Oryzias latipes: one gene and its partners. The protein of the gene in region 3 purifies or fractionates together with the protein of the main gene of each other region. This does not show direct contact. Links are inferred from orthologs where the notes say so. Each region holds a gene or a part of one and is shown on either strand. Other genes may lie near its edges.

Region 1 (4,180 bases), on a different chromosome or scaffold from region 3:
TACGGATGTGCTGAACGTACAGAAAACTCTCTCCAAATAGTAGTGGGCATCTCGGTCCTCTGCATGTCCCTCTACTGGTAACTAGCAAAGTCGCTTTTAACTCGCTACCATAAATGTTATTGTTCATATTTATTTGACGGGGAGAAATACAAAAAACACAGATCATTGCATTGAGACAATCTGATGCCGGCGTTCAAACGTCTCCCTCCTCTCCTCAGCGAAACACCAGACATAAAGCCCCCGCCCCCAACAGGCCGCCTTCAGCAGCTCTCTGCCATTCACGGCCCAAGAGACGGCGTTTGATTGCTTAACTAGTCCAACTATTTTTGTTTGATTTTTTCTGTGCTGCCGCTGACAAAAGGAATTTCCCCATCGTGGGATTAACAAAGTCTTCTATTCTATTCGCTGTGAATTGGGTCTACTGATGATTTAACTGCGGATCAGTCTAAGGCGGGGCTTAGACTCACCGCTTATGGTTCCAGACCCGCAACAAACTAACAGCTGCTTCCTAAAACTTAATAATAAGTAACAACTAATGATATTCTTCCTCCATACAATTTATATAATTTATTGGGTTTACTGGATTTAAAAAAAAATAAAGAAACAGAAAGGAGTCCGTATCAAAGTGAATTTGTTTCCATCATCTCACTTAACTTAATTTAACTCTGGGTGTTTGACAGACAGAAGTCCATTCAAGGTTGTCGAAAATGGACAAAAGATCAAAGGAAACATCACGCTCATAAAGAATAAAAATACTTAAATACATATCCTGTCTGGAACTTTCTCATGTATAAAGTAAAATGTTTTGTTAAAAAAACAATGTCGTTGCAAAATGAGGAAATAAAACACTTTGTTCTTAATTTGTTATTTGTATATTTATTTATTTTTCTTCCTCATAAAGTATCGATAAGAATGTAGTTAAAATACCGGATCGATAAGCAGTATCGATAAGAGTAGTAGTACCGTTACAACCTTAACGATACCCATCCCTATTTGCCACTGTGCACTTTTTGTTTCAACTTAACATAAATTATAAATCCTCCAATTTATGCTGAAGTTTGACTTTATTACTATTAAAAACTTTCAGGGAAATCTTTATTTCACTTAAAACAAAACTAAAAAATTGCTGCTGAGCCTGTTGCTCCCTGCACTTCTAGGAGGAGCTATGTCTTTGGTTGTTTATTTACCGGTACTTGTTTTTTGAAATAAACTAATTGTTTGTGTTTGTATTCTTCTAAATTGTAAAATATTGTCACCTTTACTGCAAATAAATATCGCCTCCAAATACTGATTACCTGCCTCCTTGAGTAATAATGTGTCCTCTAGCCTGAGACCGGGTTAGAGGCAGAGAGAGCAGAGCAGCTGCTAACCTGAGCCACGACTCTGTCCAGGTCCACCACCATCTTATGCAGGTTCTCTTCAGCTGCCAGGACCAGCGGGCGGACGGCGGCCACCTTCAGGTCTTTGGAGCCGTTGATGGTGGCCCTCAGACCATCCAGAGCTTCCCTGCAGGGACGAAAACACAGCTTCAGGGGACGGCGGCGCTCTGTGAGCGGCGGAAGGACACGTGCACACGCCTGAGTGCACGCTAGGAAACGAGGGGAATGTAAAAACAGTCCGACAGCTGGAGATGTTCTGCTGTTCTGAGGCCCAGAACGGCAGAGGAGTGCTGCTAAAGAGCTCAGGAACCAGCAGACAGCAGAGGTGACCTGAGGTCAACAGGGTGACATGTTTTCGGGGTGGGGGTAACTTGCTTGGCTTTCTGAAGGGCAGCTGTCGCGTCCGTCACAGCAGAGGTCCGGTCCATCAGAGCAGCTTCTAGATCCTTCCACTGGACGGACTTCTCCTCGGGAGGACTCTGCTGGGAACAGAGTGTCAGGTCACTGAACTCCTCCCTCTAACGAGCCAATCACATTCCAGAATGTTCCACTGCTGTTGCACCTTCTGTTAATCAATAATCCACATTCGTTTTCAAACCTCTATACCGTAATTCAATCTGAATAAAATCAAACCTCATCATGACAGGTTTTATTTTTGAAATGCTAATTTCCTCTCAGCCCTCCATAAAAAAAAGATGACAGACATTTTCTGTCATCTTTGGAAAAGCCGTGACAAATTTAAAATCCAGAGTTTATACTAAGAAGCTTTTGTCTACTCTTTTTTTATGTTGCTGCTGGAAGCTTGATTGGAAATGTTTATGGAGCATTTTTGTGTGTAATTTTGCTGTTAAAAAGCAAAATAATAGTCTCTGCTAAAATATTTAGTTGCTTTCATTTTAAATTACTCTCTAGAATCCTTTTAATTTATTATTATAAACAAACCTGAGCTTCCATTAACAAAATGATTCATTTCCTTATTTAAAAACTCACAAAAAAAAAAACAAGAAATCTCCCAAATGAATCAGGAATCCATTATCCAAGTAACGATGGACTCCTTTTTTTTTTTTGGGTGGTCTTCCATGACACTGACCACAGGCCCCAGGCCGCTGAGGCCATGGCAGTACCTCTGCTTCCATGGCCTCCTTCAGCTTCTGCGTGTGCTGGTTGATGGCCTGCAGCGCCGCCTCCTGGGCTCCGATGGCCTGCAGCGCTGCTCTGGCTGAACAGGCCAGAGATTCCTCCAGACTGCTGGACACCGCTGGAGAACGGCAAACATCAGACAACCGGCATGAGCCTCACGGTTCTGTTGGAAACTGTCACAAGTCGGGCGTCTGCTGAAGACCCCTCCCACACTGAGGAGACAGTTGAGGTTCTGCCTCAGAGAAATCAGGTTCTCGCGTCAAACCTGCTAAAACGTTCTGCTCATCCTGGTCCTGTTGGGCCAGACGGGCCGACACCTCCTCGGCCGGACGCTCCACCAGCTGTTCTGTGGACCCGGCGGGCGAATCGGCGCCGCTGTGGGCCGCCTCTGAGCCAACGTGGTGACACTCGTCGCAGTGCTCTGAAAAAGAGAGCGCACGCTGAAGAGCGTGCACGTGGACCACTGATAACAGCAGCAGTCAGCCCCCCCTCCACAACTATTTACTGCTAACAGTGACCCTGCTAATGGTAACCATCAACGAGTAACAACTCCCCTAGCCCTGCAGTAATCTGATTACTCTACACATGTTCCTGCTGGGTGATTTACCTGTGACCGCTGTGGGTTGGGTGTCAAACGGCGCCGGGACTGAAGGGACGTCGCTGCTGGCAGAGATGATCTGGGTGGCCTCGGCTGAAGCTCCTGGAGGAACAGACAAGGAGAAGATGAAGGTGGAGTGGACCGGTCGTGGAGAAGGACCTAAAGGTCTGACACAAACTCATCCTGAGCTCAGGATCTGTCCTTCAGTGGAACATGGTGTGTGTGAAAGGACAGGCTAGGATCTTCTCTGTCCTCTAAATCCTTGTTTTTCAACCTTTTTTGAGCCACGGCACACTTTAACCATGACAAAATCCTGCAGCACACCAGCATCCAAAAATGACAAAAAAAGAGAAACTCATAGTCTGTATTGATCTACAGCACCTCCACAATCACACGTGCATTTTTGTGATGATTGTGGCAGAAAAGCTGGAAGCTGCAGCTGTTTTTTCTAAAAGATGTAATAAAAGTTAAGTTAGAAGATTTAAAAACTGTTTGATGTGTGTTCGTTGTGGTTTCAAGACGTTAAGAGGAGAGACTCATTGTACGCTGAGATGCTGTCACTCTAACCCAATGCATTATGGGTGATGTAGTGATGTCAGACAGACTCACTTCTCTGAGCTTCATTGTTTTGTTCACCTGTTCCACGGTCTGATACCAGATTCTGTGGAAAGCTACACCGCTAAAGACGAGCTTTAGCTGGAATTTTTGTTAGAACTGAGAGACTTTAGGAGCAGAATCAGAACAAGGAAGTGAAGAGTTTAACCACTTCTGATTGGTCAGACTGATGACATTTGATTAAGCCTCCAAGAATGATTGGTGGAGACAGTTAAAGGGGCGGGACTTTTTCAGAAATCAGCTGACGCTGCGGCTAAATCGCAGTACCATCATTCTTATCAAAATGTCTTTAATAGAATCAAATAAACACAAAGAAAAGTCTTTTATGATCTTTCATATTCCTAACTACTCAGTGTTTTATCAGGGCCTGTTTGGATGAACAAAGAGCTGATTTCCTGGAGATGGGAAATGTTTTTAGATCAGTTAATGAGGGCAATTTCCCACGGCA
Region 2 (4,180 bases), on a different chromosome or scaffold from region 3:
CCTACTTTACTTTACTTCTTGACTCATTTGATCTTGAAAGCATCTTATTTGTATCTACTGAAAAAAGGCCTTTCTATGTGAGTAAAGGCAGCTATCAGCAACATGTTATAACTTATGTGCATTGCAGTCTTTTAAAGACACTTTTCATAAAGTTTTCTTCGCTCCTCATTAAATCACAGAGGATAACATGAGAAGGAAACGTACACAGACACACACACACCATTCCAGCGCTGTATGTTTTCATATTTATACCGCATAAGAAGATAAACACCGCCTGTGGTACAGATGATCCTGAAAGAAGACACGATTAGTGCAACAGCAGAGGAATCCTTGTTCAGCAAGCTGATTATCGCACTCTGTATTGTTGTACTCCAAGGATAAGCCTCAGTGCCCCTCAGCAACGCAAAGATGTGAGCTGAGACCCGGGTGAGGCGCAGCGATGCGTTGTTTGGCTGCCTGATCAGCAACTGTACCTTCAAACGCCTTCCCAGCCCGAGCTGTGGAGCCACGGGCTCCCAGCATTCTGTCCTCCGGCTCGCCTTCCTCCTCCTGCTGCACTTTTCTCTCTAACTTTCTGTGAATTTGTAACCAGCGCAGTGATGAACAAAGTGGAGAAACCGGCTTTTTTGGTTGAATAATACAACAGTGAGGCACACTGAGAGTTCTGGGATACTGGGAGGGAAAGGCTGCTTTTTACAGAGTGCATGCATAACTCCTGAATCCTCAGTTGTTCCTCTGTAAAAAACTTTAAGGTTGTGTTTTTTTAACCTCAAGCTGACTGCTTGAACCAAAAATCTTTCTTCTTTTGACTATTGAGGATATAAATCACATATAATGAAAAAATAGAGCATTTTGGTGCTCTATCCAGTATCCAAAAAAAGTATTTTAGTTGATCAAATATTTAGAAATCAAACCAAAGTTCTAAGGCTTCAGATTTATTTTTAATTATGTTTCAACAATTTAGGATTAGTTGACAGTATTGAATTCTGTTATGTTTTAATACTGGTTATGTGCCATTAGATTTAAGTTCATGCTGATTGATAAAAGTTTTGTTCAGTCTGATCGCTTTGATGTTTTCATTCTCCAACACTGGACTGATTTTTCTATGAGGGTTTGAACTTTGAGAGTTTAATCAAGAGAGAAAAAAGTGTAAAAATGTTTGTCTGTCCGAGAAAAATGTATAAAGTGTCTAGTTTTACTGCCTTAAATATCTAAAATAATTGTAAAGAAAATAAAGATGACTTTTTTGCCGATTTTGCTCATCTCGGGTTACTTTTGAAAACAAATATCTGATCGCAAACAAAGATTTTTACAAACTGAACACAAGAGTGATTGACAAGATCCACAGCCAATCAGGAAGCTGCTGTGACGTCATCCTAAGTGATACCTTGTAGTTCCTTGACAGAATTCTCAATCCTCACCACGACGATGAGACACAGCAGCTCATTCCAATGCGGTCAGATGAATGCAGTTAAAAAATGCAATTAAAAAGATATAACGTGATGCACGTTGCTTCCTCCTCTTTTCCCCACAATCCATGTCATAAAAGGTAGAGACCAACGCAGCAGTTAAACTGTTGAGCCTGATGTTTAAAACTGATCAGCAAAACGTAAAGTTTGAATGAACCAACAAACTAACAAAGTGCAGGACTTCCAGAATTTCTTTCTCTAGTTGCTTTGCCTCATAATCCCTGACCAATGAGTGAAGAGATTTTATTGCTGTAGTTTTGTAGGCTGACAAGCCTGACAGCAGTCTGACTACAGTCCAAATGCCTTAAGGTTCAGGACTCGATCCGGACCAGCGGACTAGAACAAACGGTTTTCTCCCGCTTAGAGACTTGTTTTGGATTGAAATCTTTTTTAAGTTCAGGAGAAGCTCTGCAACTCACACAAGAACTTTAGGAAATACCAAGAAACTTTTCCACACATTTATGCAAAACACGACCTTTGCTTTTTCCACCAACCGCCACTGAAAGTACTAAAAAGTGAATTCTTTTTTTTTATGTCGATGCTCTTTGTGTTTTTTCCTGCATCTACGCCACATCTTCTTTTGCTACCTTCTCCTCAATTCCTACAGCTGGCAATACTGATGAACTTTGAAGAGGCTTTGCCACCTTTGTGTCTTTCTCCTAAAGCTTCAGAATTAAACAAACAGAGATGTAGGTTTGGTGAGCATCTGGCTGCATGAAGGAAATCAATTCCAAAAAACTAGAATAACTGGGAAACGTGTTATTTCCATAATTCCATTCAAAAAAATATTCTTTTATTGAAAATAGATCAATAGATCAAACCTCTGTCTTTGCTTTTATGCATAAATGCTGATATCTTCAGTTTCATGAGCTGGAACCCAAATTTACGTAAAAAAATAAATAAAATACAAACTTTAACTTTTTGAAAGGAATTGTGGAAATGAAAACACTTTTCCTTATTATTCTAATCTTTTGTCTTTTTTCTTACAAAGAAAATGACACTAATTTTAACCAATAGTGGAACCATGATTGATACTCTATTTTTTGTTTTTTTATTTTATAAAAAAAGAAACACAGACGGAGAAACCTCTCACCTTTCTTGCAGCGTTTATACATTGCAGGTATTCCTTGGCCAGGTCTGAGCACTTTAGGGTCTGGTCTCTGTTGTCTCTGTAACAAGATAAAATCTGAGCCTGCAGGCCAGAACACACTGGAGCTGTACTGCAAGACCTGCAGGAAACACAGAGAAAAACAAAAATAAAGGTCTACTGAGAACAAATAAAATATTTATCCTCCAACTTCCTTGTTGAAGGTGTCAGATTAAAAACTCAAACACTCATTGAAGGAAAATAAAAGGTAATATTTGTACAGAATTGATCCATTTTAATTCAATGACCAACACTAAACCTATGAGTAAAATACATTAAATGGTCACAGATCCCATAGAAACAATTGAAACCAACATGAAGGTTTAAAGAAAGTCTCTTCAGATTCAAACTCTGCAGATCATTGAGGTCTTTGAGGCTTTAGACCAGATATCCCTGGATTGACCTTTACATCTGGGTTTGAATGTAGCAAATGGCTTTAAACAAAAAAAACGAAAAGAAAGAAACACGTCCTTTGTCTTCTAGTTATTATGTACGGCACTAAACTCTGGAACAAGTTTAAATCTAAGAAAAATTCAGAAAAATTCAGAAATAGGAACGATTTTTTCACAATATGGGGTTGAGGGAACTTAATAACATCCAACACTTTCTGATCAATAAGCAATTTATTTTTGTTTTATTAGGTTTAATAGATTAATATTGATTTCGGGAATTTGGTAAAAGAAATTCTGAAGATAATAAGAATTTCGGACTTGGACTGAAAACGTTTTAAAGACCCGCTTCAATGAAAATCTCATTTTTAAAATCCTCTGGGGACATTTTTACCATAATAGATGTTAAGAAGTATAAAGTATAAAATTCTGTTTTTGACTATTTCTTTATTCAAATTGTTGTGAATTGTGAATGCTTTGAAAATACATCAAAATATGATCACAGACCGACTTTAAGAACTTTAAACAGATGTTAAGAACAAAAAAATGTTTTATAAAACATTGTGAGGCGGCATACTTTGAATTAGCTTTTTCTCACTTACTTTTACCCAATCAATCAGTCTTTGGATTCAATAGATTCAATGTATCGTGTGTAAATAGGTCTACTGATGATTATAATCCATATTTAAAACGGCATGATTTGTCTTTTATTTTTTAATCAACTTATGAATTGATATCTTAAATTGGTTTATATTGACATCGGTTTTTTGTATTGTCCTTTTTCCCCCCTTTTTCTTTCTTTATCGCTTGAAATCGGTTAACCAACCAACCAACCAACCAACCAATCAATTCTATTCTTTTAAAGACTAAACTTGTGGAGATCGCTGCTAAAAAATAAATAAATAAAATCGGTATAACTATACCGATGAGTTTCTTTGTTTCATCTTCCACAAAAAAGCAAAACTTTTCCAAACATGCTGTTTTTTTTAAAAGAAACTAATCTTAATAGAATAATTAGGCGTATGACGGTAACATTCTCGTCTGCACAGATGGGAACCTGTTCAACAACAAATGCGCTGCCTGGTACGTGTTTCATTGCAAATTGTACAATTAGAGCCCAATCACACTTAATTGAGTGGGTTGGATCATTCTGATGAAATACAGCGAGAAGGTGA
Region 3 (4,873 bases):
TCTCCTTCCTTTGTGTCTAACCTGTCATATAGCTCATCGTAAGCTTTCTGTTTGGCCTTTGCCACCTCTCTCTTCACTCTACGCTGCGCTTCCTTGTACTCCTGTCTACCTTCCTCAGTCCTTTCTACATCCCACTTCTTTTTAGCCAACCTCTTCCTCTGGACGCATTCCTGTACTTCCTCATTCCACCACCAAGTCTCTTTACCGTCTTTCCTCTTTCCAGATGACACACCAAGCACCTTCCTACCTGTTTCCCTGATAATCTCTGCTGTAGTTTCCCAGTCATCTGGAAGCTCATCCTGACCACCCAGGACCTGTCTCAACTTCTGCCTAAATTCCTCACAAGTTTCTTCATTCTGTAGCTTCCACCACTTGGTCTTCTTTTCTGTTTTCCCTCTCTTCTTCTTCCTGACCTCCAGAGTCATCTTACACACCACCATGCGGTGCTGTCTGGCTACACTCTCTCCTACCACCACTTTGCAGTCAATAACCTCTCTCAAATGACCTCGTCTGCATAGGATGTAGTCCACCTGAGTACTCCTACCTCCACTTCTGTATGTCACTCTATGTTCCTCTCTCTTCTGGAAGTAAGTGTTGACTACAGCCATTTTCCATATTCCAAATGACCAATTTTTGGAAAAAAAAAGAGACTAGAAAAACTAAAAAGCACCAAAGTGAATTACCCTAAACATAGTCAATTGTAAGCTTAGTGCTATGATCGCTTAAAAGTATAGGAAAGATTTGAGGAAATTGTTAAATGTATCATTAAAAAACCGAGTTGAAATGATGTGTGAGCTGTGAAAACATTTAAAAAAAAGTTGAATAAAAGAAACGGAAAAGCCAAATTCAATGATTCATAAACCAAAAGAGTAAAAAAAAGAAATCAAATAGGTTTTTAAAAACACAAAGTGTTGATAAAAAGAAGACACCTGAAGATAAAATATAACAGAAAAATTCAACACCATAAAAAAATGCAACCCAAATAATGGCAGAATTTTAATTAAATAACAAAATGTATGAATGCGTATTTATTTAATTTAACTTGCAGAAAGACATTAAGATGTAAAATAAAAATAAAAAACAATTGTTATTGAAGTCATAAAAAATGTAAATAAAAACTGACGTATTTACTTTAGTGAGTGTGTGAATATCTGAATCTTATCTGTGGGTTAATAATAATTATTAGTGTGGGTTAGTAAAGTAATTAACTGACTACTGTTCCTTTAAACAAAATGTCATGACACCGAAATAAATGAACAAAACATTAAAAAAAAAAAAACTAGAAGAATCAAGCAGCATTAAGAATGTAAAGAAATAAGAAAAAATGAAATGAAAATGCATGTTAATAATTTTCTGCTCCACCTACTGTGGAAACTAAGGAATATGTTGGAGCCAAAGTATAAATCCCCTTCAAAATGAAACACTGACATTAAGCTGCAGTTGACCTCACAGCCCAAGTTTGAAAGTTCTGTGTAAAATGTAAAAACCAATTCCTGCTGGGTTCTGTGTGGAGTTAGCATGTTCTGCCCGTGCACGCGTGGGTTTTTCCTGGGGACTTCGCTTTCCTCCCACTCTCCTAAAAACATGCTTCACAGGTTCACTGATCAGTCTAAATTGCCCCTATGGGTGTGTGTGTGAGTGTGTGAGTGTGTGTGTATGTGTGTGTGTGTGGTTGTGTTGCCCGCCTTCACACAACCGTAGTTGAACTGGGCTCCGGCAGCACTGTGACCCTGAAAGGGATTCAGTGGCGCCAGTAAATAGATGGATCCATTCATTCCGTTTCTTCCATCTTCTAAACCCGTTTAATCCCTTTCGGGGTCACAGGGCTGCTGGAGCCTATCCCGGCCACTTGTGGGTGAAGGCGGGGGACACCTGGACAGGTCGCCAGTCTGTCGCAGGGTCACATTCACACACCCAGACTCACATTCACACCTGGGGACAATTTAGAGTAACCTATGAACCTATGAAGCAGGTGGGAGGAAGCCAGAGTCCCCGGAGAAAACCCACGCATGCACGGGGAGAACATGCAAGAGCGCTAACCACTGCACCTCCATCACATTCTTATTTATTATCTAATAAATTAATTAGTTAATAGCTTAAACAGACTTGATATATCTATGGATTTTATTTAGTTTTGTATCTTTTTCATTTGTTTTTATTGCTAAAAGTGTTTGAAACAAACCAAATCATTAAAAAATGAATCAAGAATCAAGTATGAAACAGCAGAAGTTGTGTTGATTGATTCACCTTAGCTTTGCTAAACTGCACAATCGGCCCAAGTTCTGACACAACCTGGTTCCCCACATGAATAAAAGGTATTTTACCTAAAGGAAGAGCAAACACAGAGTTTATCCCTTCAGCTCTCACCGTACGTTAACATCAGTTACGTTCTCCAAAGATCAGACAACAACAAGCGTGTACTGACCAGAAGGGGACATGTATTCAGCGTTTGGCCTGCAGACCACCTGCACTGGAAGCCCACACATCCGGAGGTAAGTCTGCAGATGATACAAAGAACAGCTGGAGGAAAAAAAGCTGCAACCTTCATTCATTCATTCATAAAATGTCTGAGATGTGGTGAAAATATCTGAGTGTAGAAGATATATGATGCATTTACTGTAAATTTGAAGAAAAAAAACACCAAAACATTTATTTCATTTTCTGGATTCCAAGCAGGAAAGTAAAAAAAAGGTTCATTTCATTGCAATAAGTTTCAAAGATGACTTACCTGAACTGCCAGAGAGGAGGCGGAGTCTGACAGCAAAATCTGATCCTCTGTGAGGAAAAAACAGGAACAAATGTAAAGCTGGCAAACATGCAGACAGACAGTTCAGGGCGTTTCAACCCCTCACCCTTCAGTGGCTGGTACAAGGTGGCATTTTCAGGCCAGGGTTCAGCAGCTGTCAACGACAAACACAAGAGCACGCGCTCATTAACTCGTATCATTTATTATTCTTTGATGTTGACATCTTTGTGAGAACTATAAGAAGTCATTCAATAGTCAGCTGACATCTCTGTCACTGTACTGTGTCGTCCTGGACACACTTCGGGATATTTGAACGAGGTGAAAATCAAACACGGGTGTGTTTTCATCCCTCTGGTCAGGTGAACTACTAACTTTAGCCGCTAACCGGCTAAAAAGAAGCAGCTAAATAAACAGCATAGAATCAGAAAAGGCAGAACGTAAACATTACCCGCCATCTGCGACACGAAGGCCTCTGCAGCAAGAGACATGACGAGCAGATTAGCTCTTTAATTCAACTTCCACGGAAACGGGCCGGTTCAGAGGCGTTTCATGTCACATTAAGGACAAATGTTGATGTGCAGTCATGGAGCAGTCCGCCGTCAATAGTCATCCCCCCAGAAAAAGTGCTCTCTACATATGTGGTTCCGCATACTCCCCAACCATCAAATCAGAGAATCTTTTAACGAAACGTCCTTTCCCTACATCTCAAATCCAAATGATTTTAACCAGTATTTTAATAATTCAGAAAAAAAAACAATTACGAACTAAATATTCAAAACTTCCCATTCCTCCAAGGAAGTCCATTTAAAAGCTTTTCAGGTATTTACCCTTCCAAGGAATTGCATGGAAAACGGTTTGGATTTCCTAAAAATTGTTGTTCTTTTTTTATAATGATGACATTGAAACGACTTTGAATGTTTTCACTCTAACATGTTTTGGGATAATATACATTATTGGCTTTCCCCCAAGATTCCATGTTTAGCAGACTTTTCTATTAAGGATATAATTTTTGGGTTTATTTTAGAAAACAAAAACAGATTTTATTTTAAATGATATAATTATTTTTGAGTAGATTCTATATGCAATCAAAATCAAACCATATTTTTTTACATTTCATAAATAATTCTGCTCTTTTTTTTCTTCCGTAAACTTCATGGAAAATAAACTTGCTATGGAACTTCAAAATATCATATGTAACTTGCAGCTTTTTGATAACCCCTAAGTTAATGATGAATATAATGCCCATGTAACCCCTTTATTTTATTTTGTTTTAATCTTTTCTATTTAAGTTTGTATTTTTCTGTATTATTGTATTTTTTTTATTTAACTTTTTTAATGTTGTTTACATTTTTCTATACTTGTTGTGATTGTAACTTGTTGAATTCTTTTTACAACGGCCACAATACTCTAAACCTTAATTGTTTTTCAATTAAAAAAAATGTGGTTCCGCATTCGCAACGCGCAAAAGCAATAAGCCAGTTAAAAAGAGGTATGTGGCCACTAAACCATTCATTTATGACACAGCTTTTAAACATTTACAATATTTGAATCACACCACTTCTGACAGCAGCAGATACAAGCTCCTTTCAAAATAAAATGCACCCTGTATCAAATAAAATCCCACTGCAGCTGTTTTACATGAATTGAAAATGCAAGAAAGTTTTTTCTCTGAATTCAAAGAGTCACACTGGAGGGATAAAATAGCCACATGTAGCTCCATGGCATCAGATTGCAGACCCCCGAGTTAGGCAAATGTTTAACATGACATGTATACCTTAACATGTTGATGTTTATACTAACCTTTCAACTTTTTACATGTAACATTTAGTCATTTATTTATCAATTTTTGTTTAATATATTATTACTTAAGGACATGTAAAATGTAAAAACAAACAAACAAACAAACAAAAAAAAACAACATATGGAGTAGCTGGGTAAATATTTCATAGCTGTCCAAAAGGCTCGTTTTCATTTCTAGGTCTTTGCCAGATGCACAAAAATACCTCAATAGTTAATACAAAAAACATCACTATAGTCAAAAAAATATTTAAAAAAATAAAAAAGATGCAACAGCCAATTCTAAAAAGAATTGCAGTTACTCCTTAGCAAAAAAGAAATACACTTGAC

Evidence for each region. The genes of interacting proteins can lie anywhere in the genome.
Region 1: the proteins of mtx2 (region 3) and immt purify together in Homo sapiens (co-immunoprecipitation; 5 studies listed by BioGRID and IntAct, counting the BioPlex papers as one, with this or other methods). This does not show direct contact. The link is inferred for Oryzias latipes from reciprocal best matches to the Homo sapiens genes MTX2 and IMMT.
Region 2: the proteins of mtx2 (region 3) and MICOS complex subunit mic25a-like purify together in Homo sapiens (co-immunoprecipitation; 3 studies listed by BioGRID and IntAct, counting the BioPlex papers as one, with this or other methods). This does not show direct contact. The link is inferred for Oryzias latipes from reciprocal best matches to the Homo sapiens genes MTX2 and CHCHD6.

Annotation. Positions count from the first base shown.
Region 1 is NC_019868.2:4,710,317-4,714,496, reverse strand, and holds part of immt (MICOS complex subunit MIC60), read right to left. Parts: intron 3,220-4,180; coding exon 3,127-3,219; intron 2,941-3,126; coding exon 2,785-2,940; intron 2,638-2,784; coding exon 2,504-2,637; intron 1,862-2,503; coding exon 1,755-1,861; intron 1,507-1,754; coding exon 1,371-1,506; intron 1-1,370. UniProt on the Homo sapiens protein: Component of the MICOS complex, a large protein complex of the mitochondrial inner membrane that plays crucial roles in the maintenance of crista junctions, inner membrane architecture, and formation of contact sites to the outer membrane.
Region 2 is NC_019865.2:2,331,778-2,335,957, reverse strand, and holds part of MICOS complex subunit mic25a-like, read right to left. Parts: intron 2,699-4,180; coding exon 2,563-2,698; intron 2,135-2,562; coding exon of another isoform or gene 2,129-2,134; exon of another isoform or gene 1,914-2,128; intron 1-1,913. UniProt on the Homo sapiens protein: Component of the MICOS complex, a large protein complex of the mitochondrial inner membrane that plays crucial roles in the maintenance of crista junctions, inner membrane architecture, and formation of contact sites to the outer membrane.
Region 3 is NC_019873.2:5,189,409-5,194,281, forward strand, and holds the start of mtx2 (metaxin-2), read right to left. Parts: upstream 3,355-4,873; 5' UTR 3,235-3,354; coding exon 3,195-3,234; intron 2,901-3,194; coding exon 2,853-2,900; intron 2,776-2,852; coding exon 2,729-2,775; intron 2,499-2,728; coding exon 2,426-2,498; intron 2,325-2,425; coding exon 2,248-2,324; intron 1-2,247. UniProt on the Homo sapiens protein: Involved in transport of proteins into the mitochondrion.